Canis lupus familiaris: one gene and its partners. The protein of the gene in region 1 interacts with the protein of each later gene in a pairwise test. Links are inferred from orthologs where the notes say so. Each region holds a gene or a part of one and is shown in the gene's direction. Other genes may lie near its edges. The genes, in order: FSD2, MRPL11, TLE5, LENG1, PPP1R18, SH2D4A and FAM107A.

What was found.
Region 2: the proteins of FSD2 (region 1) and MRPL11 interact in binary tests that used the Homo sapiens proteins (3 or more experiments, as listed by UniProt). The two-hybrid records come from large-scale screens. The link is inferred for Canis lupus familiaris from reciprocal best matches to the Homo sapiens genes FSD2 and MRPL11.
Region 3: the proteins of FSD2 (region 1) and TLE5 interact in binary tests that used the Homo sapiens proteins (3 or more experiments, as listed by UniProt). The two-hybrid records come from large-scale screens. The link is inferred for Canis lupus familiaris from reciprocal best matches to the Homo sapiens genes FSD2 and TLE5.
Region 4: the proteins of FSD2 (region 1) and LENG1 interact in binary tests that used the Homo sapiens proteins (3 or more experiments, as listed by UniProt). The two-hybrid records come from large-scale screens. The link is inferred for Canis lupus familiaris from reciprocal best matches to the Homo sapiens genes FSD2 and LENG1.
Region 5: the proteins of FSD2 (region 1) and PPP1R18 interact in binary tests that used the Homo sapiens proteins (3 or more experiments, as listed by UniProt). The two-hybrid records come from large-scale screens. The link is inferred for Canis lupus familiaris from reciprocal best matches to the Homo sapiens genes FSD2 and PPP1R18.
Region 6: the proteins of FSD2 (region 1) and SH2D4A interact in binary tests that used the Homo sapiens proteins (3 or more experiments, as listed by UniProt). The two-hybrid records come from large-scale screens. The link is inferred for Canis lupus familiaris from reciprocal best matches to the Homo sapiens genes FSD2 and SH2D4A.
Region 7: the proteins of FSD2 (region 1) and FAM107A interact in binary tests that used the Homo sapiens proteins (3 or more experiments, as listed by UniProt). The two-hybrid records come from large-scale screens. The link is inferred for Canis lupus familiaris from reciprocal best matches to the Homo sapiens genes FSD2 and FAM107A.

What each region holds. Positions count from the first base shown.
Region 1 is NC_049224.1:55,070,732-55,075,028, reverse strand, and holds the end of FSD2 (fibronectin type III and SPRY domain-containing protein 2), read left to right. Parts: intron 1-1,763; coding exon 1,764-2,016; 3' UTR 2,017-3,338; coding exon of another isoform or gene 3,339-3,374; 3' UTR 3,375-3,797; downstream 3,798-4,297.
Region 2 is NC_049239.1:51,392,327-51,396,425, forward strand, and holds the start of MRPL11 (39S ribosomal protein L11, mitochondrial), read left to right. Parts: upstream 1-1,299; 5' UTR 1,300-1,397; coding exon 1,398-1,520; intron 1,521-1,906; coding exon 1,907-2,002; intron 2,003-2,558; coding exon 2,559-2,652; intron 2,653-2,738; coding exon 2,739-2,898; intron 2,899-4,099.
Region 3 is NC_049241.1:56,586,156-56,590,445, forward strand, and holds the start of TLE5 (TLE family member 5), read left to right. Parts: upstream 1-1,490; 5' UTR 1,491-1,584; coding exon 1,585-1,611; intron 1,612-2,349; exon of another isoform or gene 2,350-2,445; intron 2,446-2,646; coding exon 2,647-2,744; intron 2,745-4,290. UniProt on the Homo sapiens protein: Transcriptional corepressor. Acts as a dominant repressor towards other family members. Inhibits NF-kappa-B-regulated gene expression. May be required for the initiation and maintenance of the differentiated state.
Region 4 is NC_049222.1:103,811,567-103,815,763, forward strand, and holds the start of LENG1 (leukocyte receptor cluster member 1), read left to right. Parts: upstream 1-1,397; 5' UTR 1,398-1,457; coding exon 1,458-1,589; intron 1,590-2,486; coding exon 2,487-2,666; intron 2,667-3,291; coding exon 3,292-3,554; intron 3,555-4,172; coding exon 4,173-4,197. Other genes in the region: TMC4 (transmembrane channel-like protein 4), read left to right, coding at 3-133, 243-398, 694-772, 877-954.
Region 5 is NC_049233.1:625,434-629,466, reverse strand, and holds the start of PPP1R18 (phostensin), read left to right. Parts: upstream 1-1,233; 5' UTR 1,234-1,367; intron 1,368-2,157; 5' UTR 2,158-2,190; coding exon 2,191-3,801; intron 3,802-4,033. Other genes in the region: NRM (nurim), read left to right, coding at 461-492.
Region 6 is NC_049237.1:22,874,103-22,878,224, forward strand, and holds the start of SH2D4A (SH2 domain-containing protein 4A), read left to right. Parts: upstream 1-1,322; 5' UTR 1,323-1,650; intron 1,651-1,660; exon of another isoform or gene 1,661-1,814; intron 1,815-1,955; coding exon of another isoform or gene 1,956-2,662; intron 2,663-4,122. Other genes in the region: collagen alpha-2(I) chain-like, read right to left, coding at 1,956-2,662. UniProt on the Homo sapiens protein: Inhibits estrogen-induced cell proliferation by competing with PLCG for binding to ESR1, blocking the effect of estrogen on PLCG and repressing estrogen-induced proliferation. May play a role in T-cell development and function.
Region 7 is NC_049241.1:32,298,376-32,302,483, forward strand, and holds the start of FAM107A (actin-associated protein FAM107A), read left to right. Parts: upstream 1-1,308; 5' UTR 1,309-1,645; coding exon 1,646-1,669; intron 1,670-4,108. UniProt on the Homo sapiens protein: Stress-inducible actin-binding protein that plays a role in synaptic and cognitive functions by modulating actin filamentous (F-actin) dynamics. Mediates polymerization of globular actin to F-actin. Also binds to, stabilizes and bundles F-actin.

The sequences.
Region 1 (4,297 bases):
TTCGGATTAAAATAGCTAAAATTCACGGAGAGCTTGTTCTGTGCCAAGCACTGTTCCACACTCTTAAATGTGTACTAGCCCATTTACTTCTATTATCCCATTAAAAAAAAAAAAAGCTATGCCTCATAACAGTCATGTCATCTATCCAATGTTTTCAGAGCTTAAAATCAAATCCAGGCAGTCTGGCTCCAAGGACAGCATTCTTAACCACTAAGTAATTGGTTTTTCATGTTGAACTTATGTTATTAAACGGATAGTTTGATCTGAAGCCCCAATTCCATCTTTGTAAGTGGGCAGAGGCTTAAAATAGTTATGGCTCATTCCAGTTTGCTTCTGCTGCTAAGCACTCTGTCCTCTATGCATGGACTAGTTCCAAAAAGAGGCCCCCAGTGGGGTGGACATTGTCAGACTTAGAAAGCCATCGTTGCAACCTCCCTTCACCTCAAAAATTGTAAAACCTATTTTCCTAGTACCTCTTCTACCACGGGGCCTCTGACCCTCGTTGGCTTGCTGAATCCTATTAACATTTGATCCGATGTTCTCTGCTCATGAGCCTCCATCATGGTTAAACACTATCTGTCATGCCCACACGTATGTGGGAAGACCAGCTTGCCCCCTGTAAGATATCTGGATTAGAATGGACTTTACTGAGCCTCAGACCCAGTTTGAGGAATACAAATACCAGGCACTGAGCCAAATGGTTTATTTGGATCCTGCCTGAAATAAGACTAAAAATCAAAGTGTCCTCTCCTATAAAAGGAAAAATGAATGGCAGAGGAAAACAAGAGAGAGAATAAAGGAAGAGTAGGGGTCTGTGTATAGTGGAAAGGGTGGGAAGTCAGAGGACAGAAGAGGATGGGAACATGAGATGGCATGAAAAAGGACAAGAGCCGAGCACTGGAGCCAGAGCAATTTCTTGCAGTCCCATCTTCGAAAGACACATGAGAGAGGGACCGAGTTACAAGTGGAGGGTGAGGGCTGGGTATCTTAGCTGATTCGTATTTCTTGCTTTAGTCTTGACTCTACTGTGGTGGGAGGAGGTAGAGGGAAGAGTGGCTTCTTAGTTAAGGAAAGGAGCAGCAGAGGGGAAGATGAGGTGACTCGTGCTGGAGACAGGCTGGCTTGGCCTGATGCACTGAAGGCTATTCCAAGTGCTCCTCCCAGGCATGTGGACCAGCGTGCTGCTGCTGAGCTCTGCAAATGTCTGCACATAGCAGGGGTAGGAAGTTCCTGTGGCTGGTTTCAGTTCAGGCCATTCTTCAAAGCACAAAGGACACAGAGCCTGGCGAGAGGGTACTGCAGTGAATGGAGACGGCCCCCAGGGGGCCCTGCTAAGGCTGAAGGTTTGAGAATGGTGCCTTAGTGAGTGCTTGCTTGTGCACAGATTCTACCAAGAGGCTCATTTTATTCCATGAAAGATCATGAGGCTGCCTGTTTCAAATGTCTTTATTACAAAGGTTTTATACATCTGAACCTTAAAAATCTAAATTTCCAAAACACCTATATCTATACAAATTTTTATGTAGTAAGAATTTATGTTACTGTACCTAAGTATTTTAGGTTAACAGATTGCTTGAAAACAAATGGAGTTAAAAAATAAAAGTCTCTTAGGACAAATTTTAGAAAAGATAATTTTGGAAAGGGTAATCAGTTAAAAAAATAACATAAGCATAGGAGTATATGAATAAAATTAATATGAAATGTTCTGCAAATAATCCAGACAGAATTTCTGAAACTTTGTTGTATCAACATTTAATTTTCAGGCATAAGTATGAGTTCCTGCATAACAAGATGACTCCAGACATAAGAATAACGGTGTCCCCCAGGAAGATTGGCATTCTGTTAGACTATGAAAATTCAAAATTGTCATTTTTCAATGCGGACATTTCTCAGCATCTATACACATTCAGCTGTCAGTTCTACTGCTTTGTGCATCCGTGTTTTTCTTTGGAAAAGCCTGGGTGTCTGAAGATACATAATGGCATTGCAATGCCAAAGCATGTTGCTTTCTATTAGACCATTTTGATCCCCGACTTCCGTACCTACCCCTCTCAGCCACTCACCCCTCGACTGGTTGGACTTGGCATTCAGGCACCATGCACCAAGCACAACTTATGGCTCACATTCTCACCTGGCAGACTAGTGCACTGACACTTATCTCACCTGACCTGGATTCCAGTCCTGTGCACTGCCGCCTGTGTGAGATAGGCTGGTCATTACTAGGCCCGGCTGTAAAACGAGAGCTCAGCCAACATGAACCCAGAGGTCTTTCAAGTTGTCATATTGTACACATCTATTGTTTATATGCAAAGTTACCTGAATCTCCAAGGCCTTCAGAGCTCGGGATGAGGGGCAGTGGAAAGGAAGGGAAAAGATGCATAAGTGTTAATGGCTGCAGCACATCTGTAACATGTCACTAGCACCAGTAACAGACTTGAGGAGGCAGGGAGCTGTCCCCAACCAGAACCAGGGAAGCCATGGACCAGCACCACCTAACCAGATGTGCCTTCCCCTCTCCTATCTTCCCGGCAGTTAACGGCACTGCAATGAGCACTCTGAACACCCCGTTCCGAGGACTTACCCCACTTAAACTTTGAAATGACCTCTACCAGGCCCAATTCCATGAAGGCAGGCAGTGTTTTATTCATCATTCAACCCCTAATGGCTAACATGTCACAAACAGGTACACACCACATATAGACTAAATTAGTATCTTCTTCATCCAACCACTGCTCTGCCTATTGATATTAACAGCAGCTCAGATACTTGAATTAACAAGTCACCTTGATGATCTCACAGCTCCTTATGTGTACACACACGACTGCCCTGCCAAGCTGGATCACTACCCAGAAATAAGGAAAGTATAGCCAATGAAGCACAGAGATAGTTCAAGTTATAGACACATGTGTGTATTCAAAACTGTTCTCAGCTACCAACATAGAAACTGCCAGGTAGGAAGTAGGATATCATAGGCAAGCCTGAATTCAGGATTCTAACAGGCTTTATGGAATATTTCACATGTAATACGAACATGAATAAAATGATAAAAACTTAACACCTATAAGGTTTAAGTGACATTTTTATTTGACCAAGAAAAAAATAATCTAGAATTGCCACTGACCATTAACATTTAAGATCCACTTAAGGCAGATGACCAGCTTAAAGCATCACAATTATTCTGCATAAAGAACTTTTGATTAAACATGTTTCTTCTACAAGAAGAAAAAAAAACAAGTCTAGAACAGAACCAAACAAAACGTTTTCTGTAAAATATTCCAATTCCTAAAATACCATGAATAATCTACTGAAATTAAATTTCAACAAGGGGCAGGATTTACCTCAAGGCCATGTTCACCAGCAACCTGCCGATAAATCTGTTAAAAGACAAAACAAAAAAAACTATTTTTAAAAGTCAGATCATTATAGCTGCAATCCCTGGCTCTGCAGTTAAAACATGTCAATCTGTTCTTACCTGTATCACTTTATAACCCTTGAGCAAGTTATTAACATAAGCTTAGGCTTCCCTCAATAAAGGGGAACAAGAATATGGAGAATAACCACAGAATCCTAGTGTAAACTAACATGGGCTTAGTAATTCAGAATAGTCAGATTTTAAGACACCTGGTGAAGGGACTGGAAAGTTGGTTTGGAGACTTGAGATATAAGATGACATTGGTTCCTGGTAAAATTAAATTGCCTTTTTTGGAAAAGTGTATGTTTAATAGTTGACTTCCTGCTGGTTCAGACAATGATATGCAATCACTTGTACACATCCAATAAAATATTTCAGAAGCACATGCTTGGTGATCAGTATAAAGCAGAGAGATTACATGGGTACCAAGGCCTTTTCTTTAAGACTTCTCATCCTCCAGTATTTGTCAGAATCCTAACTCACATGGCTCACACGCTGGCAGTTGCTCTGGAGCACAGTTCACTGTGACACAGCATTCTGTAAACGGGACTGTGCTGGTCTCTGTCCAAGGAGGCTCATCTAACCAGAAAACCCTCTGAAGGCTGCGCTCCAGGAGAGGACCTGTCCTCCACTTCTTGAACAACTTCTCCAATTTCCAGTCACCTTCCCACCAGTACAATGAGAGTCTCATGGGTTCACTACCTTCTCCCACCCTTTCCAATCTCTTAATTTACTGTTCCTATTTTCCAATGCAAAGTATGTAATTGCTGTTGGTAGATTAAGTAGGTCTTGAATTTATTTTGCTAACAAGACCTGTTCTATCTACCTTTTCCTTTAGGAGGCTAATAGCAGAGTTGGCTTGACTTCAAGGACTCTGTTTTCTTA
Region 2 (4,099 bases), on another chromosome or scaffold:
AAGGCTGGGCAGTGTGGGGGCACTCAGAGATAAATCATATCTAGCTGGGCTCTCTTCAAGGTGCTTTACCTGAATTAACTCATTTCCTGGGAGGTTAGTACTATTGCTAGCCCCGTTTTGCTAGTGAGTAAACCAAAGCACAGGAAACTTAATTATTTTGCCCAATGTTTTACAACTAGTGAATCAGGAGCCAGCTTGATTCCAGACCCTGGCTAAGGCTAATGAGATAGAGCATTATAAAGAACTTGAGAAACTTCAGAGGCAGGAATAATCACATTTAATTAGTGGAAGTCCAAAAAAATCATAATAAAAATATGACAGTTTACAGTGTGGTTTAGCACAGATTATCTCCTTTTACTAGATGAGGCAATGTAGAGTCATGGTACATGGCACAAGGTCTAGAATCCGGTAATACCAATATTGGTTTCCCAGCCTTGTCAACACAGGGTAGTTGTTTTTGACCTCCTTTTTGTGCGTCAGCATTCTCGTTTGTCAAAAAGGTAAAATAAAAGAATTTACCTCATGCCATTGTGAGGACTAAATGAGATAATAATGCCCTTAAAGCACTCGGCACCATGCCTGGATATAGCAAGTGCTCAAAAAAAAAAAAAAAAAAAAAGGCATAATAAGATGCTGGCTTATTTTTATAAGTCTCACAACAGCTCTGTGAAGGTTTTGTCTTCGTTGTACAGTTAATAGCACATGCTTACTAGATGCCGGGCATTGTCCTAACACACTGCTAACTCAATCTTCACAACAGTCCCTAGAGCTATGTCTACATATTATAATCTTTGTACAGGGGAGGAAAGTGAACATAAGTAATTTGAACAAGTTCACAGCCAGCAAGAGGAACAACCGGGTACTTACTTCCCGGGTCTATACTCTTAATCATAGTGCCTTTCAACAACAGGTGACGAAACAGGCTGGGAAAGTTAGAGATGCTCACGCCCGAGAAGGAGCTCTAAATTCCCTTCAAACCCCAGGATTATAATCACATCCAGCAGATGGCCCCCCAGAGCATAGCAACGTGCGAGATTTGCGTAAGCGGTCAAAACTACCATGCCCACAATGCTGTGCGAACATTAAGGGCCTCCTCCTCCTCCAGTTTAGCTGTCCGAGGTACTGCCTATGTGCTCTGCAGGAGGAATGCATGTATCTGAACCATTCAGGCCTTCCCTTATCTTCAGATCGTGAGGTAAAAGTTTTTTTTATCCTTCATATTACTCTCTTTGGCGTACTAGTTGGAGAATAGAAAGGCCGAAACAACGCTGCTTTTTGTTGGCGTCATATGACCAAACCTAACGTGAGGACCCTTGACCTCTGACTCAGGATGGCGGCGCCCGTGGCCGTCGCTTTTGCTGTAATCCTGAGCTGAACTGAGGCCGCAACCCCGCGTCATGTCGAAGCTGAACCGAGCCGCTCGGGCCCTCAGGAAGCCCGAGGCCGGCGGCGTGATCCGGACCATCGTGCGGGCAGGCCAGGCCATGACCGGGCCTCCTCTAGGTCCCATCCTGGGTCAGGTGGTCCCGCGGCTGGAACCCGGAGCGGGAGGCGTGGTGGGGGTGGGACCTAGTACTGGGACCCGGAGCGGGTGGAGGGTGCGGGCTCGGCTTGGTAAGGTAAGGTCAAAGCGCGGCTTTGCTGCCCACACGCTTTTGGTCTTTGCGTTCATTCCGTGGCCTGTTCGAGGCTAAGCTTCCTCCGTCCTTGGTCAGCGGCCCCTTGGGAGGATAGAGGGACGATGCATACAGATCCTCTGGCGCGTAAAGTGTTAGTTGAATCTGGGTTAATAAGAGGAGGATGGGACCTTTAAGAGATGAAGACGAAGGAGGAAAGGGATAGAATCTCCCGTATGGTAGGAAGCCGCCCCCTTGTCCCCACACTAATGTCCGTGCTTCCCACCCAGAGAGGTGTTTCCATCAACCAGTTCTGCAAGGAGTTCAACGAGAAGACAAAGGACATCAAAGAAGGCATTCCTTTGCCCACCAAGATTTTTGTGAAGGTGCACAGTCGGGACTTTGATCCTGTTTGGCTTTTAAGTTTTTATTTTTATTCCAGTTAGCCGGTATACAGTGTTATATTAACTTTGAGTGTATGATATAGTGATTCACCGGTTCCATGCAACACGCGGTGCTCATTGCACTCCTTAATCCCCGTCACCTAATGATCCTATTTGTTTTTCTTCCCCTTGGTTACTGGGGTTGCTACTCTGCTTTTAATTTTGGGTGAGGCTCTTCCTATCACCGAGTCCCACTTTCCCCATTTACACAGTGGAGACTAGACCATATCTTTTCTGAGCCTTTCCTGCCATATTGCATTTCCTCCCTTTGCCTGTCCATCTCACTCGGGCTTCTACAGCAGAGCTGAGCCTGGACTAGAGGTGACAAAGCTGTTAGCTGCAGATTTATTTTCCCCGTGTTTTCATGATCTGTTAAATGGACGCCAGTGGAAGATGAGTCAAGGGAAGGGGGAACAGAAGTTAAAAGTTCTCTGGGCTGGGGCAGCAGGGCCTAGAGGAGATAAGAGAGATATTCTCCTGTATTTTCTTCCCCATGAAGCCTGATAGGACATTTGAAATCAAGATCGGACAACCCACTGTTTCCTACTTCCTGAAAGCAGCTGCTGGGATTGAGAAGGGGGCCCGGCAAACAGGTAAGGGTCAGGGTGGGTACCCGGGATTTTGGGGGCTCTGGAAGGAAGCCGAGATACCTCAAGGTCTACTTGTTTCTTCCTCCCAGGGAAGGAGGTGGCTGGCCTGGTGACCTTGAAGCATGTGTATGAGATCGCCCAAGTTAAAGCTCAGGATGAGGCCTTCGCCCTGCAGGATGTGCCCCTGTCCTCTGTGGTTCGCTCCATCATTGGCTCTGCCCGTTCCCTGGGCATTCGTGTGGTGAAGGAGTGAGTGTCTTGGGAAGGTGCAATGTGAGGGGAGGGCTTGGAAAGTTCTTGACTCTGGAGCAAAGCCAGGAGGGCCCATTACAGTGGGAGGACCAGCTTCTGAGTCAAGGACCTTAGATTCTTGGGAGTGGGCAGCCTTATTCATCCATTTGGAATATGAATATTAAGTACCTGTTATGTGTCAGACATTTTTCTGGACGTTAGATACAGCGAGGAAGAAATCACTGGGTGGCTCAGTGGTTTAGCATCTGCCTTTGGCCCAGGGCGTGATCCTGGAGTCCCGGTATCAAGTCCCACATCAGGCTCCCTGCATGGAACCTGCTTCTCCCTCTGCCTGTGTCTCTGCCTCTCTCTCTCTCTCTCTCTCTCTCTCTTTGTCTTTCATGAATAAATAAATAAAATCTTAAAAAAAAAAAGATACAGCGAGGAACAATGAGATAGCCATGCTTGGCCCCACTCCTAGGGAGTTCACAGTTGAGAGCTGGAGGCAGATGTGTAAGTGGAGCATTAGGCTGCTAGATGGTCATTGTTGACAAAAGGAACTGCAGGTTCTTGAGGAAAGAGTAGAGCTCCTAATTTTGCCTGGTGTGTCAATGAGGACTTCACAGAGGAGGTGACATCTGCACAGACTTGGAAAAGGAGGTCAAGGACTGGGACAAGCATTCCAAGAAGTGGGAAGATCCCTGTGAAGGACAGGAGGTGAAAAAGTGAAGCAAATAAATGCAGTGTGCTCTGGCGTATGGTGCTAGAAGCAGAGTGGGGAATAGGAAGAGAGGTGAGACAAATGGACCAGTTGGGAAGGCTGAAGGCTGTTTCCATCTATCTGAAGTTCATATTTGATCCTGAGGCCAACAGGAAGCCCCCTCCTAGGGTTTGGGATGACCTCAGGAATTATTTCTCTGAAGTGAGATGTTGGATGGGAGAGCATACATCATCTGAGGGCTCAGACAACAGCAAGGGCGGGGCTTGGCCCTTTATGGGCCTCTTGCTGCTGATGTTACATCTCATGCTGAGGCTAACATTTGTTTCCTAAGAGAAGTGGGATTAAACGTGGTACAAGGATAGACCTGACTTTCTCAAATCTTCACTTTGACTAGAAGTACAGAAGTGAGTCGATCTGACCCTTGCTTGGGGGGAGGCACATGTGTATAGCCTGACGACTTCTTTGTACAAAGTGTTTGGGGGCACAGAGGAAGGGGCA
Region 3 (4,290 bases), on another chromosome or scaffold:
CCAGGCATTAGTTCACCAACTTCTTTGGGGCCTGTTATCCACATGGCAGCAAGAGTGATCCTATCAGAATCCCAGTTGGCCGGGCCTTTGGTGGGGGGGTCGCGGCCTCCTGCCTCGAGAGCCTCCCTTGGAGTAAAACCCCCCACCGCCCCCAAGGCCCTGCACCATCTGTCATGCCGCCGGCCCCGCTACAGAATTCACATGGCCCAGTGCAGAACAAAATTGTGGGACCCCGGGGCAGCCCCTGTGGCGCAGCGGTTTAGCGCCGCCTGCAGCCCGGGGTGTGATCTTAGAGTCCCGGGATGGAGTCCGACGATGTCGGGCTCCCTGCATGGAGCCTGCTTCTCCCTCTGCCTGTGACTCTGCCTCTCTCTCTCTCTCTCTCTCTCTGAATAAATAAAAAATAAAATCTTAAAAACAAAAATTGTGGGACCCCTTGTTGGAAAACTATTAGGAATTTCCAGACCAGCGCAGCAGGCCATGAACCCGCACAGGCCCTTCAGAGCGCAGGCCTCCAGTGGGAACCAAGGTGTGAAGCTGCTGGCCCTGCCTCCCTGCGCCGTCCCCAGTGCTAGGCTGGGCCTGCCTCAGGGCCCTTGCACTTGCTACTCCTGCCTCCCCCCACCCCCCCTCCAGGGCTGTCTCTCACTTTCAGGTCCTCTGCGGTTGAGGAGGCCTCTCTGACCTTCCTCTGTTTCAAATCGCACTTTCCGGGCCCTCCCCGCTGGCTCATTTGCCCCCTAGCTGGGGGTTCGGTCTGTCTCCTGCCATCTCCACCAGGCCGGGATTTTGCACACACGCGCGCGCACACACACGCGCGCGCGCGCACACCCCGCCCCCACCCCCAGGTCCCGAGCGGGCCCGCACACAGTAGGCGCGGTGCGCGGGTGGGGGCGGCGGGGTCAGCGCGGCCTCCCCGCAGAGCAGCCGGCCCGCGGGCCAAGGTTACGGAGCGCGTCCCTGGCACGCGTCCAGGTCGCGCCATGACGGAGCCGGCGGTGTAGACGGGGGCGGCGGGCCCTCCTCGCCGCGCGGGGACACCGAGGCCCGCGGCCGGCCGCCCCCCGCCGGGAGGGGCCGCGGCGGGGCGGGGCGGGGCGCGCCGAGCCCAAGGTCACCGCGCCGGCCGGCGGGAGGCGGGCTGGGTGGGGATCCGCAGGCCTCCCCGGGCGCGCGCCCCCCTCGGCGGCGCGCACGGGGCCCGGGAAGCAGCAGCGGCGGCGGCGGCGGCGGCAGCAGGTGGAGCCGGAGCCTCCGCGAGCCGAGGCCGCGGCCAGTGCCGGCGCCGCCGCCATTAGACAATAGGAGCGGCGGCCGGGCGTGCGGGGAGGCGGGCGGCGGGGAGGGGCGGGGAGGGGCGCCGGGCGCGCAGGAAGCGGGGCCCGGGGCGCGCCGGGGCCGGGCGCGCGGGGAGGGGGCGCAGGAAGCGGGCGAGGCCGGGCGCGGGAGGCGGCGGCGGCGGCCCCGGGAGCTGCCGATCGGCGCCGGGACAAAGGCGCGGCCGCCCGGCGCCCCGAGCCGCCCGAGCCGCCCGAGCCGGGGCGCACAACCGGGGCGCAGCCCGCGCCCCCCGCCGCGACTGACATGATGTTTCCACAAAGCAGGCATTCGGTAAGCGGGGCCCGACGGCCCGGCGCCCCCCCCCACCCCGGTCGGGGCCCCGCATCCCCGCGCCCGCGCCCCCCCAGGTCCCCTGCCGGCCGCCCCCCCCCAGGTCGGGCCCCGCGCGCCTCCCCAGGTCGGCGCCTGGCACCCGGGGTCCCGGCCTGGCCGTCGCCCTCCCCGCTCCCGGCCGGGCCGCCCCCCCATCCCCAGCTCCCTGCTCGGCGCCTCCCCCGACTCCGGCGCGGGGCCCAGCGCGGCTCCCCCGCCCCCACCGCCCGGGCTCCCCGGCCCCCGCAGGTCCCGGCCGCTCCCCCCGCCCGGCCCGGATCCCCCCTAGTTCCCAGGCCCGGTCCCCTCCGGCTCCCGGCCCGGATTCCTCCTCCCCCCGGCCCCCGGGGCAGGCCCCCCCCCCCCCGCGCCCCAGCCAGGCCGGGCCTCGGGCGGCCTTGGCCTCGGGCCTGGGGCACCCCGGGAGCCCCGCCGGGCCCCGCGAGCTCCGGGGCTGGTCTGGAGGCCTGGGATGAGGGGGGATCCGAGGCGCACCCCTCCCGGAAGAACGCGGCCGGGCAGGAGGGTGCTGGGAATCTGGGGCGGACGCCCCCCCGGGTGATTTCGGGCGCCGGGAGAGGCCCCCTCCCCAAGGGGACTTTTCGGGGAGGCCGGGCACCCCCACCAACTTGGGGAGGGGGCCTCCAGGACGCCGGCCCCCCTCCCGCAGAGGCGGTTGGGGCCCTCGGATTGCACCTCCCTCCGGCGCTTCCGAGGGGCGGTAGAGGGCGCGCGCCGCCCCCCGCCGAGGGCGGACCTGCTAACGCACCCCCACAGCCTGGGGGTGGCGGGGAGCGCGGCGGCCCCGGGCGCACCCACCCCTTCGCCTTCCCCCGGGAGAGGCGGGGGCAGGAAGCGAGGGCGGGGGCCGCGCCAGGGGCTGTAAACACGGGCCCGGGAAGTGGGGCGGGGGGGGGGGGGCGCTGCAGCTGCGCCTGCCCCGGGGGTCACCCCGCCCCGCGGGGCCCTGACCCGGCCGCCCCCTCCCCGCAGGGCTCCTCTCACCTACCCCAACAACTCAAATTCACCACCTCGGACTCCTGCGACCGCATCAAAGACGAGTTTCAGCTGCTGCAGGCTCAGTACCACAGGTGAGCTGGGGGCCAGAGGCCCTGGCGGTTGGGGGGGGAGGCCCCCCAGGCCTGGGGGGGGTTACTGCTTTATACACCTATTTGAAGAAATGGAGGCCGAGAGCGTCCTGGTACGGGGTAGGCCCTGTCCTGAGCACTTTCCGGATATTAAACTCGTAGACTTCAAGACAACCCATTTCACTGGTAAGAAGCCTGAGGCACAGAAAGTTAAATTATTTGTCCAGACACTGGGGCTGTGTGGCTTCAGAGGGCCTCTCCCCACCCCCACCCCAATCCCCCCGCGTGGATAAAAGACCTCCCAAGGAGCCTGGTGGAGGATGGACCCCCCACCCCGGAAAGAAAACATTCCGCAGCCTGTCCTGTCTCTTCTCTGCTTAGTTTTGGGGAATGAGTTCCCGGCTCCCAACAAGACTCTCCAAGGAGGCTCTTCCCCCAGAATTTAACGTTCTGGCGCCGTAAAGGGCTTGCGCAGTGCAGCATGGAGGGGTTGGACCGGTGCTGTCTTTGTCTCATGCTTTAAGAACGTCAAGCCCAGAGAGGGCAGAGATTTCCTGAGGATGCACAGCACTGAGACCAGGCCGAGATGTGCCCGTAATCTCTGGGTTGGGGAACGCAGATTCTCAAGGCTGTTGGGGGGCGGGGGGCTTTGCCTGGGAATCGGGCCGGAGTCCTCGGTCACGGTCGCAGACCCCAGCGGCTCTCTAGGCCTGTTGGCCTGCGCAGACAGGTTCCAAGACAGATTCTGGGTTTTAAGAAAGAAAAACAGCGAGATCCAGATCTGTAGATAGATTTTTAAAAAAAATCTCACCTTTCAAGGCGACTTTCCTCACTCCCCATGTGCTAGATGCTGAACCGATGTCCTCTTGTAGCATTTCCCCGCTGTGGGCCTCTTAACTGTGCCCATTTCTCAGACAAGGAAACTGAGGCACTGGCAGTTGAAGGCAGGCCCCAGGAACTTTGTTTGTGGTCCCTGATGTGAAGCATTTAGGGCCTGGGCTGGGCAGGCCTGGGTTCTCGGAGCCCCTCCAGAGCGCCCCCACTTCGTAGTGAGCCCTGGGGCCTGACAACCCCAGAGCCGGGGGTCAGAGGGCCGTCACAGGGCTGTGTGTCCTCAGCTAAACCCGACACCCTCTCTGAACCTTGGGGTCTGCACCCGGTGGACCTGGGTTTCTCTCTGGACTGTGAGGGGTCCTCCCATGGGGTGGGTACACACAGGAGTTGCCAGACCCTCAAACAGGGCCAGAAATTCAGAGTTTGGCGTGAAATTGCCTGATTGTTTTTTTTTCCCCCCAATGGTATCCACAAATAGCGTTTTTTAAGGAAAGGGGGAGAAAAAACACGTGGGGCCCATAGCCACATGCACAGTGGCAGACCCGTCGTAAGCACTTTGGTGAAGCGAAGATGCCAGGCCCCTGGGATGACTGACCAGAAGGTCAAGCATGTATCAGGTGCTTCCTGTATACCAGGCGCTGTTCTAGAAGCTTCTCTGGTCTTCATCCACTTCCTTTTCTCAGCACCCCCACCCTGGGAGGTCAGTCCCTACAGA
Region 4 (4,197 bases), on another chromosome or scaffold:
AGTTCACCCTTTTCTCCACCTGCTCCCCGGCCTCCCGCACCTTTCGGGCTTCCACAGCGAACTTCTTTTTCCCCTTGGTCCTTCTCCTGGCTCTGGCCATCTCCGCTGTTCCCGTGCTTTACAGCATCTTCCTGTAAGTGTGGCAGGGGCCTGCCTCTCCCTTCTCCTTCCCTCCTTCCTTCCACCCTCATCCAGGATTCTGAATCTTGGCCATCCTTGAACACTGTCTCTGACTTCTTCAGGATCCCACCTTCTAAGCTGTGTGGTCCATTCCAAGGGCAGTCGTCTATCTGGGCCCAGATCCCTGAGTCTATTTCCAACCTCCCTCAGACCGTCCAGAACTTTCTCTTTTTCCTGGGGACCCAGGCTTTTGCTGTGCCTCTTCTCTTAATCTCCAGGTGAGGGAGCCCAGAATCCTGGGTCTGAGTTTGTGTTCCCTGGGGGCCCCTACTGCCTGTTTCTAAGAAAGGAGGGGTTGGGGGCCAGGACTCCTGGGTCTGAGGAGGGAGGGGGCTGGGGGCCTGGACTCTTGGGTCTGAGGTTGGAGGAGCCTGGACTCCCGGGTCTGAGGGAGGAGGGGTCTGGCGGGGGTGGGGTGGGGCTGGGAGTCCAGATCCCCGGTTTCTAAGGAGCCTTTACACTGAAGATATGCTAAGAGCCCCCTGGGTATGGCTTCCATTTCCGTCCCTATAGCATCCTGATGGCATATACCCTGGCCTTGGCTAACTCCTATGGACGTCTGGTCTCTGAGCTCAAACGCCAGATAGAGACGGTGAGGCAAAGCGGGTTCATGGTAGGGGGTCCTGGATGTTGAAAGAAATGGTGGGGAGCGGTCGGCCTCACCTGCACTTCTCTTTACCCTTTACCTCTACCCAGGAGGCGCAGAATAAGGTCTTCCTGGCACAGCGCGCTGTGGCACTGAGCTCGGCCACCGGGGCTCTTCGACCTCCCTAGCCCTGCTCGGGACCATGGCCCACTTCATCCTGCCCCCGGACCCTATGGAAGCCCGCACCTCATCTGTAAAAGAGAACTTGAGAAGACCCTAAGTCCCCGGCTGCGGAGATTTCCGGGGCCCTGACACCCCCTCACTCTCGCGTTAACCTTTCTCGTACCAATAAACGCCGCTGAGACTGCAGAGCGCTTTGTTTGTAACTTGCATCCTGAGCCGGCCAATCAGATTATCGGCCTCGAGAAGGCCAGCCAATCAGCGGCCGCGTCCCGTAGCTTCAGGGCGGGGACAAGTGATTGGCTCAGGACCTGGTGAAGAGGCGGTCTCCAGGCTACACCAACCCGAATTCGGCATCTCAGCCAATCAGCGCTCGCTACGGACTTGGAGGGGCGTGGCAGCCAGCCCAGGGCCAATCCGTAGCTGAGGCAGGAACAACAGGGAACGGCATCCTCTCGCCAATAGAAAGTGCTCAGAGGTGGGCCTGCAGTCGGTGGACGGCTACGACGCCATGAATATCTTGCCCAAGAAGAGTTGGCACGTCCGGAACAAGGACAATGTCGCCCGCGTGCGGCGTGACGAGGCTCAGGCCCGAGAGGAGGAGAAAGAACGTGAGCGGAGGGTGCTGCTCGCTCAGCAGGAGGTAAGCCCCGAGTGCGGTCGGACGCGACTCCCGGGCCGAGCGCGCAGGCGCGTGGGGGAGGGGCCGGAAGCGGGATGGCGCACACGCGCAGTGCCTCCCGTGAGGCTGGAGGAGCTGGGCGCGGTTGGAAACGCAGGGGCTCGCCTGCGCGGGCCCTACCTGAGGCTTCCCCACCTGGGCCTCCCCTTTGCCCTGGTTTCCGCCACTCGTTTTGCGTGAGGCCGGGGTGTGCCTGGCTTAGAGTAGGGGCTGCTGAAAAAATGAATCCTGTGCAGTTCAAAGAAACGCAGACCCACGTTTAGTGTTCCTGCCCGACCCCTCTGGAGCGTCTGCTGTATGCTCGCCCCGAGCAGAGCGCTGGACCTGCTCTGTTCGTGCCCAGAGGGCACTGCCCTCCGCTGTGCAGAGAAGTGGGACGTACCCATCCCCCTGTGGGGCCAGCCCTCTCCCCGCGGCCCCCAACCCCGGGGGTTCTCGGAGTAACTTCTAGCTTCTAGTGTGCACGGAGTTTGAAGTTTGTTAACGAATCTGGCCCTCACCGCTGGCCGGGAGGTGGTCTGGGCTTTTAAAGCTCACTTTGGTCAGCAGATTGCACGTGGTCGAGGGACAGTGATCTGGAGCCTTACTGTATTTCTGGTCGCCTGCTCGCAAATTTTGGGCTGCCTTCCTAGCTGTTTTTATTGTGCCAGCTGAGGTTGGGAAACCCTTCTGGTTCACCAAAGGCAGCGTACAAACCCAGGTGTCACCTCATTCTCCCATCCTCTCCCCCAGGCTGGGTGATGCTCTGATGAGCCCTCAGCACCAGCACGGGGATTCTCTGTGCTTGGCACCGGTCTCACAGTTCTTGGAGGCATGGCTAGGCAATGAATGCTCTGCCTGTAACTTTCTTTCCCCCAGGCCCGCACAGAATTCCTACGGAAGAAAGCCAGGCACCAGCACTCGCTACCTGAGCTCCAAGCAGCAGAGGCGGGAGCCCCCAGTTCTGGCCCTGTGGACCTATTTCGGGAGCTGCTGGAGGAAGGGAAAGGGGCGACCAGAGGCAATAGAGAGTATGAGGAAGAAAAGCGACAGGAGAAAGTAAGCTGCGCGCCCCCCCCACACCCGTCCCTGTCAGTCAGGGGTAAAGTCTGGGGTGACTGATGGGAACAGAGAGGTAGGGTGGGGATGAAATGAGCTGACACAGAGAACTCAGTACTGGAACACAGCACTCCCAGTGTGGGTTATTGGCACCCTCCCTGCAGGGGCTTGGAAGTGGGTGCACGGCACTGTCAGGTACAGACCCCTTGGGCTGATGTCAAGACCCTGTGGAGGTGTATTAGGAAGCTTTTTCATCTAAATCAGAACCTGGGTCCTGTCACTTACCCACTTTCAGGGGTTCCCACCAAACTCTGAACTTGCCTTTGTCTCGCCTCACTCCTTTGCCTTGCTGGCGGGCTTTCAGGTTCATCTTTAAAGTATCTCCCCAAAGATGCTGCCTCTGAACCCTAAAGCAGCTGCACCCTGTCCTTCCCCCTTGTGTTTTTTGTTATTGAATTGACACTCTGCCCAGTGCAGGAGGCCCACCTGTCCTTGGAAAAATGGCTGAGTTGACTCATGCTGCTTCTACCTGTCCAGGAGCCTGGGGGATTCTGTTGTCACAGGTAGGGCTCCCTGAGTGGAGACATCGCTGACATCCTCAGTTCCCTCTTTCTGTCCCCCTCAGGAGAGGCAGGAGAAAGCTCTGGGCATCCTGACCTACCTGGGCCAGAGTGCAGCAGAAGCCCAGACTCAGCTGCCTTGGTATCAGCTACCCCCACGGCAAGGGGCCCCCCAGCTCAGCCCAGGTCCAGATGAAAAGATCAAGAACCGCCTGGACCCTCTACAGGAGATACAGAAGCACTTGAGGAGGAAGAGACGGCACAGTGGGGACAATGGTGGCCATGGCAGGAAGGGGAAGGAGAAGCCTGAGAAGCAGCGGCCTGAAGTGTAAGGAAGTGGGCAGCTGCATTGGTGCTGTCAGGGTGAGGGGCTGGGGGCCTGGGGAGGCGGCTCGCCACGTGTGGCTTTGGGGCTCCAACGCCCTAGCAGGGGGTCTGCAGAGGCAAGCTGGTTTTCCTGAGCCCCTGTGACCCTTCACTCAGCCTTGATTGTCCAGTGGCTTCTAAAGAGACAGGGCGTGAAGAGACACTGTGGTGACTGGGGACGTAACCTTGTTTCAAGGTTTTCTCGCTTCTATGCAAAATAGCAATAGATGAAACCCACTGACACAAAGCTTTCTGGGGTCTAGTTTGAGAACCACGGGGTCAGTCAGAGCAGGTTTGTGTCCCAAGGAGGACAAACCTGAGCAGGTCTCCTAGCTCCTACAGAAGGAGAAACTGAGGTCCTGGCTGTGCTCATCATCATAGCTCATGATTTGGAGGGGCATCAGGGGCAGTGATGGCAGTCCTGGGTCCTTGCACAGCATGAGGCCAGCTTCCTACCCACAAACCTCTCAGACCAGAGCAGGTAGAGGTGGACGGGGTTCCAGGTGGGGCAGCTCCTTCTTGGGGGAAAGTGGGACCTCTAGGGGCTATAAGCTTTCTGACCTGAGTGTTCTCCCCCCAGACCCCCATCCCTGGACCAGCTTCGA
Region 5 (4,033 bases), on another chromosome or scaffold:
GTGAGGCCGAGTGAGGAGCTAACCTGGTCCCAAGCCCTTTAACATCTGGGCTCTGGCTGCTTCAGACCAGAGGCCCAAATCTATGGACTGAAGGGGCCATCCCTTCCCCTGTTTGAGCCTCCACTCCTTGGGCCCAGCTCCATACCCTAATCCTGAATTTCAACCACTGGACCCCAAGATCTACTTCTCACCAAACCACGGAGGAAGGGTGGGGAACTTCAGTATTTCCTCACAGTTTAGGCCTTGACCCACCTCCACCCCACCTTAAGAACAGTCCTTCTAAGGAAGAAGGGTGGGCCTGCCCACTTCCCTCCCACTGTTGCTCCCTTCTACACCTCAGGGATCCCCTTCTCCCCCTCAGGCTTCCCTTCCTAGGAGTAGGATCAGGGTCTGCAGGTTTGATGGTAATGCCAGCTCTGCTGACTCACCTAGCCCCTCCTTAGGCCTTGCCCCTCCTTAGGCGCTGGCCCTGGGCTCTGTCCTCTAACCTGAGAGGATCCTCCCGCCCTTCATGTTGGTGACTAAGAGATCTCTGCCCTCCCGAGGAACGTCTGCGGCGGAAAAATAAAATTCAGCCCGTTTTTTCTACATATGGCATGCAGTCCATCAGTGTGTCTCTAACTAGAGGGCTGACTTTGGAAGGAAGGCCAGCAGAGCCCAGGCACGCCGAAGTCGAGTCCGGACGGCCACCGCGCCCTCTGGCGACCGCTGGGCGGCGGCCCCTCGGGCACACCCCCGAGGCCCAGCCCCCTTCCTCCAAGTCCCCAGTTCCCCCGCCGTGGACCGGGACCCATGGGACGCGGGCTGAAGCTAAAGACTGGGCAGCGGCTGTCGTGGGGGCCAGTTACCAAAGCCGTGGGCTTCCGAGTACGTCTCCGGGTGGCCGCCCGGGACCCCGCAGTGACGCAGGCTGGCCGGGAGAGGCCACCGCCTGGGGAGGGGCGGGCCCGGCCGGGGCAGCGGCTGCTTCCTCTGCGAGTCCCTCGAGGGGCCTGAGTCGCGGCGGGCGCGGCGGGCGGGGCGGGCGGGGCGGGGGCCAGGGCCTGGACACCTGCGTTCTCCGGGGCTCGCGGCAGGAGGGCCGGGCCGGGCCGGGGCTCGGGCGCGAGAAGGGGAGCCGGGGAGGCGGGGCCCACGCGCGGGCTCGGGAGCCGGCCCCGCCCCGCCCCGCCCCGCCCCGCGCCGCCCCGCCCGCGCCCCCTTCCCTCCCCATTGTCCTCAGACAAAGCGGTCGCCGCCCCCCGCCCGGCCCCGGGTCGCGGTCACCCTCCCGCCTCCCCGCCCGCGTCTCCGGCTCTCCCTCGGTCCCACTCCTCCTCCCTCGGACGCCTGCTCCTCCGCACCCCTCCCGTGGGAGCCCCGCGCGTGTGAGTCGGCTGCGGGGCTGCGGCCTCGGGGCGGGGGTGTCTCGCGCCGCCCGCCCCGGCGCGGACCTCGGGCTCCTCCCGTCGAGCCGCGGTTGCCTGTCGGTGCGCCCCGAGCCGGGGGGACGGCGGGCTCCGCGGGGCCGCTGAGCCGGGAGCCGGGCCTGGCGGCAGAGCCGGGGCGCGGAGCCGGGGCGCGGCCCGGGCCGGGGGCTGCCGCAGGAGGGGCGGGGGCGGGCGCCGGGGTTCCGGGAGCCCCGGGGTGGGCGCACCCGCGCCCCGCGCCCCGCTGCCTCCCCGGACGCCGGCTCCTCCCGGCTCCCCGACGCCGCTCCAGTCCCGGCTCCCTCCCGGCGGGACTCCCGGACCCCTCCCCGCCCCCCCCGCCCCCCGCCTCTGGGGCGGCGGTGGGGAAACCCGGCCTGGTCCTCCTCCTCGCGCCGCCCCCGCCCCCGCTCCCCGGCCGCTCCGGGCTCTCGCCTCCCTCGTTACGACTCCTTTTCCGCCCTTCTCTCCGCTCACATCCTCGGGCCTCCCCGATACCATGAACCCCGCGCTGCCAATTCTGACTGCTGTCTCCTCGCCCTGAATCTCTATTCTTCCTCTCAGGGCCGCGACGCCACCTCCGCCGGGCCCACTGCTTTTTCACTTTCTGTTTCCCCGTTACTTTGCCCTCCATCTTCTCACTCTTCCCCTCCCGGGCCTGGGCCCATCTCGGTGTCCCTCCTCTGCCCCTCTGCTTCCCCTCCCCCTACCCCCAGGACCTCTGGAGCCTCTCTTTCCTGTTCTCTAGCCCAGCACTTCCCACCCCTACCTCCGCGCGACCATGGCTACCATCCCGGACTGGAAGCTACAGCTGCTGGCCCGACGGCGGCAGGAGGAGGCGGCCCTTCGTGGCCGGGAGAAGGCTGAGCGGGATCGTCTGTCCCAGATGCCAGCCTGGAAGCGGGGAATCCTGGAGCGCCGCCGGGCCAAGCTTGGTCTGTCTCCTGGAGAACCTAGCCCTGCCCCTGGGACTACAGAGGCTGGACCTCCAGACCCAGATGAGTCGGCTGTCCTCCTAGAAGCCATTGGGCCGGTGCACCAGAACCGATTCATTCGGCAGGAGCGCCAGCAGCAGCAGCAGCAGCAGCGCAATGAAGAGTTACTTGCAGAGAGAAGGCCTGGGCCTTTGGAGGCCCGGGAGAGGAGACCCAGTCCTGGGGAAATTCGAGATCAGAGCCCCAAGGGAAGAGACTCAAAAGAAGAGCGGCTCAGTCCCAGGGAGGCCAGAGAGAGGAAGTTGGGGATAGGGGGAGCCCGAGAGTTGAGCCCCAGAACTTCAGAGGCTTGGGACTGGAGGCAGAGCCCAGGAGAGTCTGGAGACAGGAGCTCTAGACTGTCAGAGGCACGGAAATGGAGGCTGAGCCCTGGAGAAACTCCAGAGTGGAGTCTGAGACTGGCAGAGCCTGCAGAACAAAGCCCCAGGAGAAAAGAGGTGGTGGAAAGTAGACTGAGCCCCGCAGAATCTGACAACCAGAAGTTGGAGCTGTCAGAGTCCCATAAATGGAGGCCCGACTCTGGAGAGTCTCAGGAACAGAGTTTGGTACAACGGGAGGCATCAGGGTGGAGGCCCAGCTCAGAAGAAGAAAGAAAAGACTGTTTGGAGGAATGTAGGAGAAAAGAAGAGAGACCAATTCCAACACTGGCCTCAGAAGAGATTACAAAGGTGTCAGAGACCCTGACAAGGGAGGCTCCAGAGAGCAGCTCTGGAGAGGTGGAGGCAGCAGAGCAAAGGCCCGGCCCTGTGGAGGATAGTGAGAGGGGCCTGAGGCTGACAGAAGGCTGGAAATGGACCCTGAACTCTGGAAAGGTTCGAGAACGGACACCCAGGGACACAGAGACTCAACCTCAGAAACCCCCAGAGGCTGCTGAGAAGTATCTGGGGCCTCTTGGTACAGAGGCTGGAGAAGGGGAGGCTGAGAAGGAGAAGGCAGGGGCTCTGAGCAGGCCTCTGAGAACCCTGCAGAACTGTAGCTCTGTGCCCTCCCCCTTCCCACCAGAGGACGCTGGGACTAAAGGCTCTACGAGGCAGGAAGAGGAAGCGGTGGATCTCCGGCCCCCACCAACAGCCCCTCTGTTTCCCCTACCCCCAGCCCCACCTGCTCCCCAGTCCCCTGGGGATCCCCTCATGAACCGTCTGTTCTATGGGGTGAAGGCAGGGCCAGGGGTGGGGACCCCTCGCCGCAGTGGACACACCTTCACAGTCAACCCCCGGCGGTCTGTGCCCCCAGCAGCCCCCAGCACTCCCGCCACCCCAGCCGCGGCTGATGTTGCAGTTCCTGGAGTTGGGAAGAAGCGGTACCCGACTGCGGAGGAGATCTTGGTTCTGGGGGGCTACCTCCGCCTCAGCCGCAGCTGCCTTGTCAAGGGGTCCCCCGAAAGGCACCACAAACAGGTAGGGAGCAGCCCTCAGACTTCTCAGAAGCCTCAGCTCTCTCTGGCCTCCTTTCTTTTTTATAGCCCTGTATTCTTGTCTTCCTCTATTCTTTCTTGTTAATTCCTGCCACTACCCTTCCTCCTCTATGCACACCCTTCCTTCTTGTTGTAGCCCTCATTTTCCATTCATTTCCAAGCCCAAGGGTTCTGTCCCAAATCAAGTGCTGTCCCTGGGTGTGTCTCCCAGGGTG
Region 6 (4,122 bases), on another chromosome or scaffold:
GGGATTTGGACCAGTCTTGTGTTTTCCACTTTTTTCCACTGTGTGGCACTGAGTACATTTAAAAAAAAAAAAAAAAAAGAAGATTTTATTTATTTATTTGAGAGAGAGAGCACAAGCAGAGGGAGCGGCAGGCAGAGAGAGAGAGAGAAGCAGACTCCTCACTGAGCAGGGAGCTCCATGTGTGGCTGGATCCCAGAACCCTGATCACCACTGAGTGGAAGGCGCACATTTAACCGACTGAGCCACCCAGGTGCCCCCACATTTTTAAATAAAGATCTTCTTGCCTGCTTCAGCATCTCCCATCTTGTTCACAGGGTTAGCGGCTCTGCCCACTGCTTGCATGGAGAACACTTAGCAGTCACCCAGGCTGCTGGTGGGCCAGAAAGTGCACTACAAATTTGAGGCTGGTGTTCTCACAGTCGTGCCTCAAAGACCAGTGCTGGATGCCCAGCCAGGCATGTGCTCACGTCTTTTACAACCTAATCTCAGAAGTGACATACTGAGGAGGTGGGGATGGATCACTGAGGTTAACATGGAGTCTAGGTACCACACAAGGCAAAATCCAAGGTCTGAGTATGAAGTTATAACTTGAAACTGCAGTATGTGATGTGAAATAGTATAAGCTAATGTATTTGTACATTCACCAGTCCACGAACTATTCTAAGCACATTACATATATCATCTCATTTAACCTTCACAACAACTTCATGAGGTAGGCGTTGTTATTATCCAGAAGGGAAAACCGAAGTACAGACAGGTTAGTGGCCAAGTGGGAGTACTCTTATAAAGAAAGACTTATCAGCACATGAACTTGAGCGTCGGGGAAGGTCATCCGCTGCAACCAGTGTCCGTTGTAGGAAAATTTTACTGACTGATGAACCACCTGTTAGTTCTTCAACTGCTGGATCCATGAAATGGGAGGATTCATTTTCAGCTGGCCACAGCCGCTACCCAGGGGCAAGAGACAATCCAGCCAAATGCAGTCACAGGCCATTCATTTAATAAGCAGTGGGAACCAAAAGTAAACCAGAAATTCTCCCCTGATGCGATCCCTAGAATGGTTCCTAAATAGGTTCTCAAGGACTTCTCTCTGCCCCCAAGGCTCTTTCTAACTTTGAGTAACTTCTGAGGTCTAGAGAAGTTAGGAAGAAGAAAGTTTCACTTTTGAAGGAAGCCAATCAGACCCCTGAATGTATCAGGTGGGCTGTGGAGAGGACTAGAGAAGGCTCAGTGTTCTTGACTCCTCCCCACCATGCGCAGGGTGGGGTTCCCCAGAGCAGGCTATTTCTCCGCGCACATTCCCAACGCTCCTGCACAATGGAAAACGCCCTGCAACGTTTCTACTCGCTTCTGCCCAACTTTCCTGTACTCCGTCAGCTCCTCCCTTCCGGCACCACCCCAACCTGTTCTTGCTGCTATTCACAAGATTCCTTTACCTTCTTTCCTTTCTCCAGAGTTCTTTCATTTTTCCCTCCGTGTCTGTTGTTTGCAGCCTGCATCTTTCCAGCCTTTCGCCTCCTTGATTCTGCCCTACAAAGCTTTGTGGCCTGTGCTGACAAGTGCCCGAGTGTCTGATAAATGACTTTAATGTCAACAAACGGGGGCGGGGCGGGTAGAGTAAGCTCCGGGAGTCGGGAGGCGACCCGGGAGGTGAGCTGACTCGGCCTGCTGGGGCTGTCCGTGTGACCGAGGCCTCCCGCCTCCGCAGGCCCGGGCTTGCAGGAGCCCTTGAGCCCCGCGGCGGAGCAGGCCCGGGCCGCTGACACCACTGCGTCCCGCGGCCGAGAGGGCGCGGCGGCCTCGGCGGGCTGCAGGTGGGGGGCGGCGGCCTGGCCCCCACACGCGGCAGCTCGGGGCCGGGTGCCCGGGCTGGGGGGTCCCCTGGGGCAGCAGGCCGCGCCGACGCCTGGGCCTGGAGCGCGTCCAGGGGCCCGGGTGGGGCCGCGAGCACCCAGTCAGCCGCTGGGGCACGCGGGCCGCGGGTGGGGCAGCGCGGGCGGGCGGGCGCGCAGGGACACTGTTTGCACAAGCGAGGCCGAGGGTTTGAGCCGCCTTCCCTCCGTCTCGGCCCCGCTGGACGCCGCGTGGCCCGGGGCCACCTGCTGGGGAGCGCGGGCCCCGCCCGGTAGGTGCGGGGGGCGGCGGGGCCAGGGGGCAGAACGCGGGACCGTGCGGGTGGGGGCGCGGGAGGCGCCGGCCCCAGGGGGAAGGCGAGCACTTCTGGGGCACCGGGAGGGGCGCGGGCGCGTCACCAAGCCCAGGCGGCCGGCGGGGGTGGGCGAGCCGGGAGCGCCGGAGCACCCGCGGGGCCTGTGCCTGCCGTGGGTCCGGGCCTCCTCCGCGGCCCGGCACCGCGCTCCCGCCCCCGCCGACGAGCGCCCGCGCCCGCGCCCGCGCGGAACTCCGCCGCCCAGACCTTCCGGGACCGCGGGGCAGCCGGCTCCCCGGGGCCCGCCCGCAGGACGGCAGCCCAGCCTCGGTCCTCCCAGTCGGGTGGGCGCCCTGCCCGCCCCTGCCCGCTCTGGCCCTCGGGTTCGCGGGGGCACCGAGAGCCGCGCGCGCAGGTGCCAGTTTATAGGCTTCCTTAACGGTATCGTTCCCTTCCCAGGGCGCAGGGCGCAGGAGCAAGGGCACCTCTCTCTAATCTTAGTCTCCTCACCTCCTAAAAGGGTTTTTTGTTTGTTTGTTTAAGTAAACACGAGCACCCGCCTGAACTCAGAACAGGGAAATCAAGATTGCGCATGCCCTACCCGCAGAGCCAGCCAGGCCCCCGCCTGAGAGGCTTCGGATTGCGGACGGAATACTAACGACTTGGAGCTTTAGAAAGTGAATAAACACGTGGAAGTCCTATGCAGGCGTAGATTTGGCCCATGAGTGCAATTTCCTAGATAAATCTGTACAGTCGTTTCACATTTCTGAAGAATGGCACATATGTACAAAACTTACCAAATTGCTATCACCTCTGGTAAATCATTTTATCCTCAAAAATAGCCCTTTTGGGGCACCTGGGTGGCTCAGTGGTTGAGTCGGCCTTGGACTTAGGTCCTGATCCCCAATGAGTCCCTCATCCGGCTCCCCACAGGAAGCCTGCTTCTCCCTCTGCCTACGTGTCTCTCTCTCTGTCTCTGTCTCTCATGAATAAACAAATAAAATCTTTAGAAAAAAAATAGCCCTTTTGCAGATAAACTCTATTAAGTGAAGTTGAATAAGATAAATGAAAATCTGAAAATAGCCAGCCATTTTAAAAGAAGTACAATTCAAACTATATTCAAACTATATTCATTTTCTTAAAAGATTGTATTTATTTATTATTTATTTATTTATTTGAGAGCGAGAGAGGCAGTAGGGGGAGGAAAGGGGGGACAGGGACAGACTCCATGGTCAGTGCCAAGCCAAAGGCAGGACTCAATCCCACTACCCTGAGATCCTGACTTGAGCCAAACCAAGAATGGGATGTTTAACTGACTGAACCACACAGGTGCTCTAAATTATATTCTTACCATTAAAGTTTTACTGTCCATATTACATTACTGCTATAATTTAGGCTTTATCTACCTGCCCCCCCCCCCCAAGGTCTTAGAATCATGAGAAACACAATTTTTATTTTGTCGAACAGGGCTATGGATGATGTGAGAGTCAGGCCAAATGTATGTTATCCTGGAAAACAACTGATCCTATCACCCTTTAGAAATTTAGTTTTGGAATAAATAGCAGATTTGGGCTTGTTGCTTGTCATTTCCTTTTTTAAGTAAAGTGCTATATGAGAAGAAAACTGAGTTAGCTTAGCTTTTCTTTTTATTGGATCTTGAATAACTGGAAGTTTGCTGCTCTCAAGTGTGTTAGATGAGGAAAGTCATTCAAAGTTTGAATCAGTGTCAGTGGTTGTCCTTTCAGGGACTGAAAGTGGGAAAAACCCTGGTTAGTTTCCTCATTCCTGTTTCCTCTACCCTACCTCCACTTGTGTCTGTAACTTCACATAGACTATGACATAGTCTTCACATTACAAAGATGTATGGTGCAGTTCCTCATTTCACGAATGGGAAAACAAAGTAGTGAAATGACAGCTGAAGGGCACACAGCTCTTCAGAAGCTCATGCTGGGGTCCTTGCTAGGTGTTCTGTG
Region 7 (4,108 bases), on another chromosome or scaffold:
GATAAAAAGGAAAGAATTGCACGAGATTTAAAAATGTAGTCAAGGGAGAGAGATGGAAAACCTTCCCAGCAGAGAGAACAGCATGTGCAAAGGTGCTGGGGTGAGGAGGAGGGTGGTATGATCCAGGAATTGTCAGGCAGAGAGGGGAATGGGAAATGAGGTCTGAGAGGCCAGCAAGACTTCATGGAACAGAACTGTGTTGGACCATGGGGAATTTGATTCTATGGGCAAAGGTGGATCTAGAATACTTGATCCTGACCCTTCACTACCAACTGCCATTTCATAATCCTTTGTACAATAAGTCCTCACCACCCCGGAGCCAGGCATTGTGCTAGACAGAGGAAAGACAGGGCTGCAAGTTTTCCCTGGCCCAGCCATCTCTTAAGAAAGGCTGTTCTGCTTAATCAAACTGGTTACCTGGGACTTGCCAATGGGCAGTGGTTTTATCACGAGTGGCATTAACAGCATTATAACAAGCAGCACCTAACTTCTCTGGAAAATTCCTATTCTCCAAATCCTCTGCCCAGAGCTTTACACAAGTCACCTCATTTCATCCTCAGGGCCCCATGGGGTCAGGGGCCATCGTTACCCCTCTTCCGTCAAGGGGGAGAGTGTAAAACAGAGAATAACATCATCTGATTTATGCTTTAAGAGAACAATGGCTCTGGCTGTGCACACCGACTTCTTTCAGCCATCAGAGCAACCCTGTGCTGTGTGATTATAGGAGCACACACACGAAGAAACGGAGGCTCCCAGAGGTCAAATCATGCCCCCCACCCCCACCCCCACCCCCTGGGTCATACAACAGTGAGGAAAGAGTTGGGTTTCAAGCCCAGGCTGGTTCGGGCCTTAACCTCCTCGCTCCATGCTGTTGATAATAATGAAGGAGGGTAGCAAGTAAGGAGGAGGGTAACTGCTGGGGGAACTTTGAGAACTTGGCCCAGGGCCCGGAATCCAGCCTCCAGATAGTCTCCTGGCCTAAGCCCAGACCAGCCCTCCCCAGCTGGGCTACTGTCCTGTTGAATGAAGTACTCTGCTCTCAGTGTCTCCGCTCCACGAGAGCCCTTGCCCCCAAGTGTCTTCAAAGATCTACTATTAATGGGGCTGCTGCCCAGCCCGAGGTTTACATCCCCACACAAGCCAAGCCTGCCCTGAGCCCCATACCCCAGCTAGTCCACACAGCCTCCACTGTCTGGGGCCTGTCTGCTGATCGGTGCCCAGCCTGGCAAGAAGGCCAAGTCCTGCCTGCTGGGCCAGCCAGAGGTCACCCGCTGTACTCAAGCTGCCGGCCGCATGGTGAGAGGACGGCTTTGCTTCTCACCTCCCCACGGATGCCTCAGTCTCCCCTCCTGAGAGAGGCAGGGGTGCAGGAAGTGAGGAGCTACAGGGACCACAGGACGTGTGGGCCCTCTGGGGACACCATACCCCTCTGACAGGATCAATCACCCTAAGCCTGTCTGAGGAGCTCTGGGCTTAGGAGCAGCTGTGAAAGCCTCCTTTGTGCCTGAGAAGAATGAGCCACGAGAGGACGGGGGACCCTGGCCCAGGGAACCCCTTGGGCCCCAGCTCCTGAGATCAGCATCGGCAGGGAGGACCCCAGCCGGGCCCCCCAAGGCCCACCCAGGCCTGGTGCCCGCTTTGTGCCATGGGAGCAGTCCATGGGAAGAAGGTAAGAGCCCCCGAGGGTCCTGCTGGGTCCCTGAACATGGGGAGGGAGACTGCACCTACCGGGTGGGAGCCCCCATCTACCTACCTGCCAGCTCCATGGGCCTGAGCCAGGCACTGCCCACCAGCCTCCCTCCCTGAGCTCACAGCCAAGATTTGCATCTAGAAACCTAGCTGGGGCTTAGGACAAAGCCTTCGGATCTCTCCACCCCTGGAACAGACCTGGACTGCCCAACCTCACAGGCTCTCTGGTCTTAGACACACACCTCTCTACTTCCCTGCATACAGGCTCCGTGGCCGCACCTTCCCCGTGTGCCAGGGAGCACCGGTGGGCAAGTTACTGACGCTTCCTGTAAGTCATTTCCCCATCTGTAAAATGGGGACAATAGTCACTACCTCAGAGGCTTATAGTGAGAATTAACTGAACAAAAATATATGTAAAGTGTTTCAAACAGTGCCTGGCACATAGTGAGCTATATATAAGCTATGTTCTGTTATTAGAGTTCTCTTCACATTTTTATGCATCACCTTCTATGTCTGGGCTCTCAGTTGGAGATTTGTAGACAGAGCCTATGCAGTGTTTCTGAAAATGTGGTCTATAGAGACCCTGTGTCTGCATTAGAGATGGGGCATGGGAGGGGGCTTGCTCCACAGTCTCCTTCTTAGGGCTCACCCACACTTCCTGGATCAGGGGAAGGGGAGGCAGGGCTCCCCAGGGATTCTTATACACGCACTCAGTCCACATCACCAGGACTGTGACCCCAGCGGTAAGGTCAGGCTGCCTGGGCCCTAGCTCCTCCACCTGCCTTATAAGGAACTGAACCCCCCTGGATCTCTGGATCTCAGCTCCTCACCTGTAAAGTAGGGCTGGTCCTCACCCCTTGGGAGGGGCCACGAGAGGATGCTATAAAGTATGTAGCATGCAGCCTGTCACCCAGACAACCCTAATAAACGGGGGCTCTAACCCTCAAACAACTATGGTTCTGCATGACTCTAAATTTTCTGCCAACCGAGCCCAACCCACATTTTTCAAATTTAAAGTAAAACACATCATTGGCAGTCCCCATGGAACAAGCTTTCTGGGCCTCAGTTTCCTCATCTGGAAAATGAGCATTGGGTTAGATAACCCCTGGGGCCGCCTTGCACCAGCCTCTGCTCCCAACCTCCTTTGTTTCGGGTGCAAGTCAGGCCTGGAAACTCCTGCCTCCCCTCAGCACCCCCAGCAGCAGTATCCTAGAAGGTTGTTGTCCTGGGGCTGTCCCTTCTCCATCCCGCCATGCTCATGGGAGCCCCCAGTTGCTGTTGTGGGTCACCTGCTGTTCTTGTGTCTTCTCTGATACAGCCCAGAGCTGCCTTCCCAGCAGAGCTTTGCACCCTGGCCCCACCCAGCCCCCTTCAGGAACATTCTTCCAGCTTCTCCCCTCTCCCAAGGGAGAATGAGCTCAGCCTCTAGATCCTACCTGTGCAGGTGCAGTCACCTTGGAGAACGGCTTCTTCCCAGGCCTGGAAAAGACCCCGACAAGGTCTAGCCTAGGAACAGCAATTACAGCTCACAGACTGCCTCTCTCTCTCCTCTCACCGGTGACAAACTTCACGAATCGGTCCCTACACCCTTTCCCACGAAGTCCAGATGACCTCAGAATCTTCCTCAGCACAGCATCCCGATCAGAACTAGCCCCCAGACTGAAAAGCAGGCATGTGCTGGGCCCAGGCCCTCCTCCTGCCCCCAGGGAGAGGCTGCCCCCCAGGGAGAGGCCGCAGAGGGTGAATGGGAACACGGGCTCTGAGGTCAGACACACCTGAGTCAGTTCTTCCAAATACCCGGGGACCGTGGACAAGACAGGACCTCAGGTTCCAACCCCATAGACTAAAGATAATAATCCTTCTCACACTGTTGTAAAATCTAAATGACACCATGCCTGGGGATGAAGTAGATCCTTAGTCAACGTTCGTCTCCCTCTGGGTTTGATCCTCTCCTACCTGCGTCCTTGTCAGCTCTTCACACCCTCCCTTTGATCCACCAGGGGCATTAACATCACACCCATGGCAGATGAAGAAGCTGAGTCATGAGCCAATGTGACTTCCCACAGCCAGCCAGTGGCTGAGCCAGCCTGGAGCAGAGGCTATGAGCCGGCCCAGGCCAGGCCTGCTGTGGGGCTCCCCCGTCTGTGGACCACCCCCCAGCCCTCCCCCACACATGCCTCCTGCTCTGTTTCTGGAGGCAGTAACCCAGCTGGCCTCTGCAGGATGTCTGTGACACGCCTGGGCCGTTTGAGGTCTAGCACCCACTGGCCTGTGCTATAAAGGTCACGGAGCTGTCCTGGGGGGCTTCTCGGACCCCCTTCCCACACTCATGGCTTAACCATAGCTATAAAATCAGTTCTGGAAAACCCCTGGCAAAGTGGTCCAATCCCTTCCCCATTGTACAGCTGGGAAGACCGAG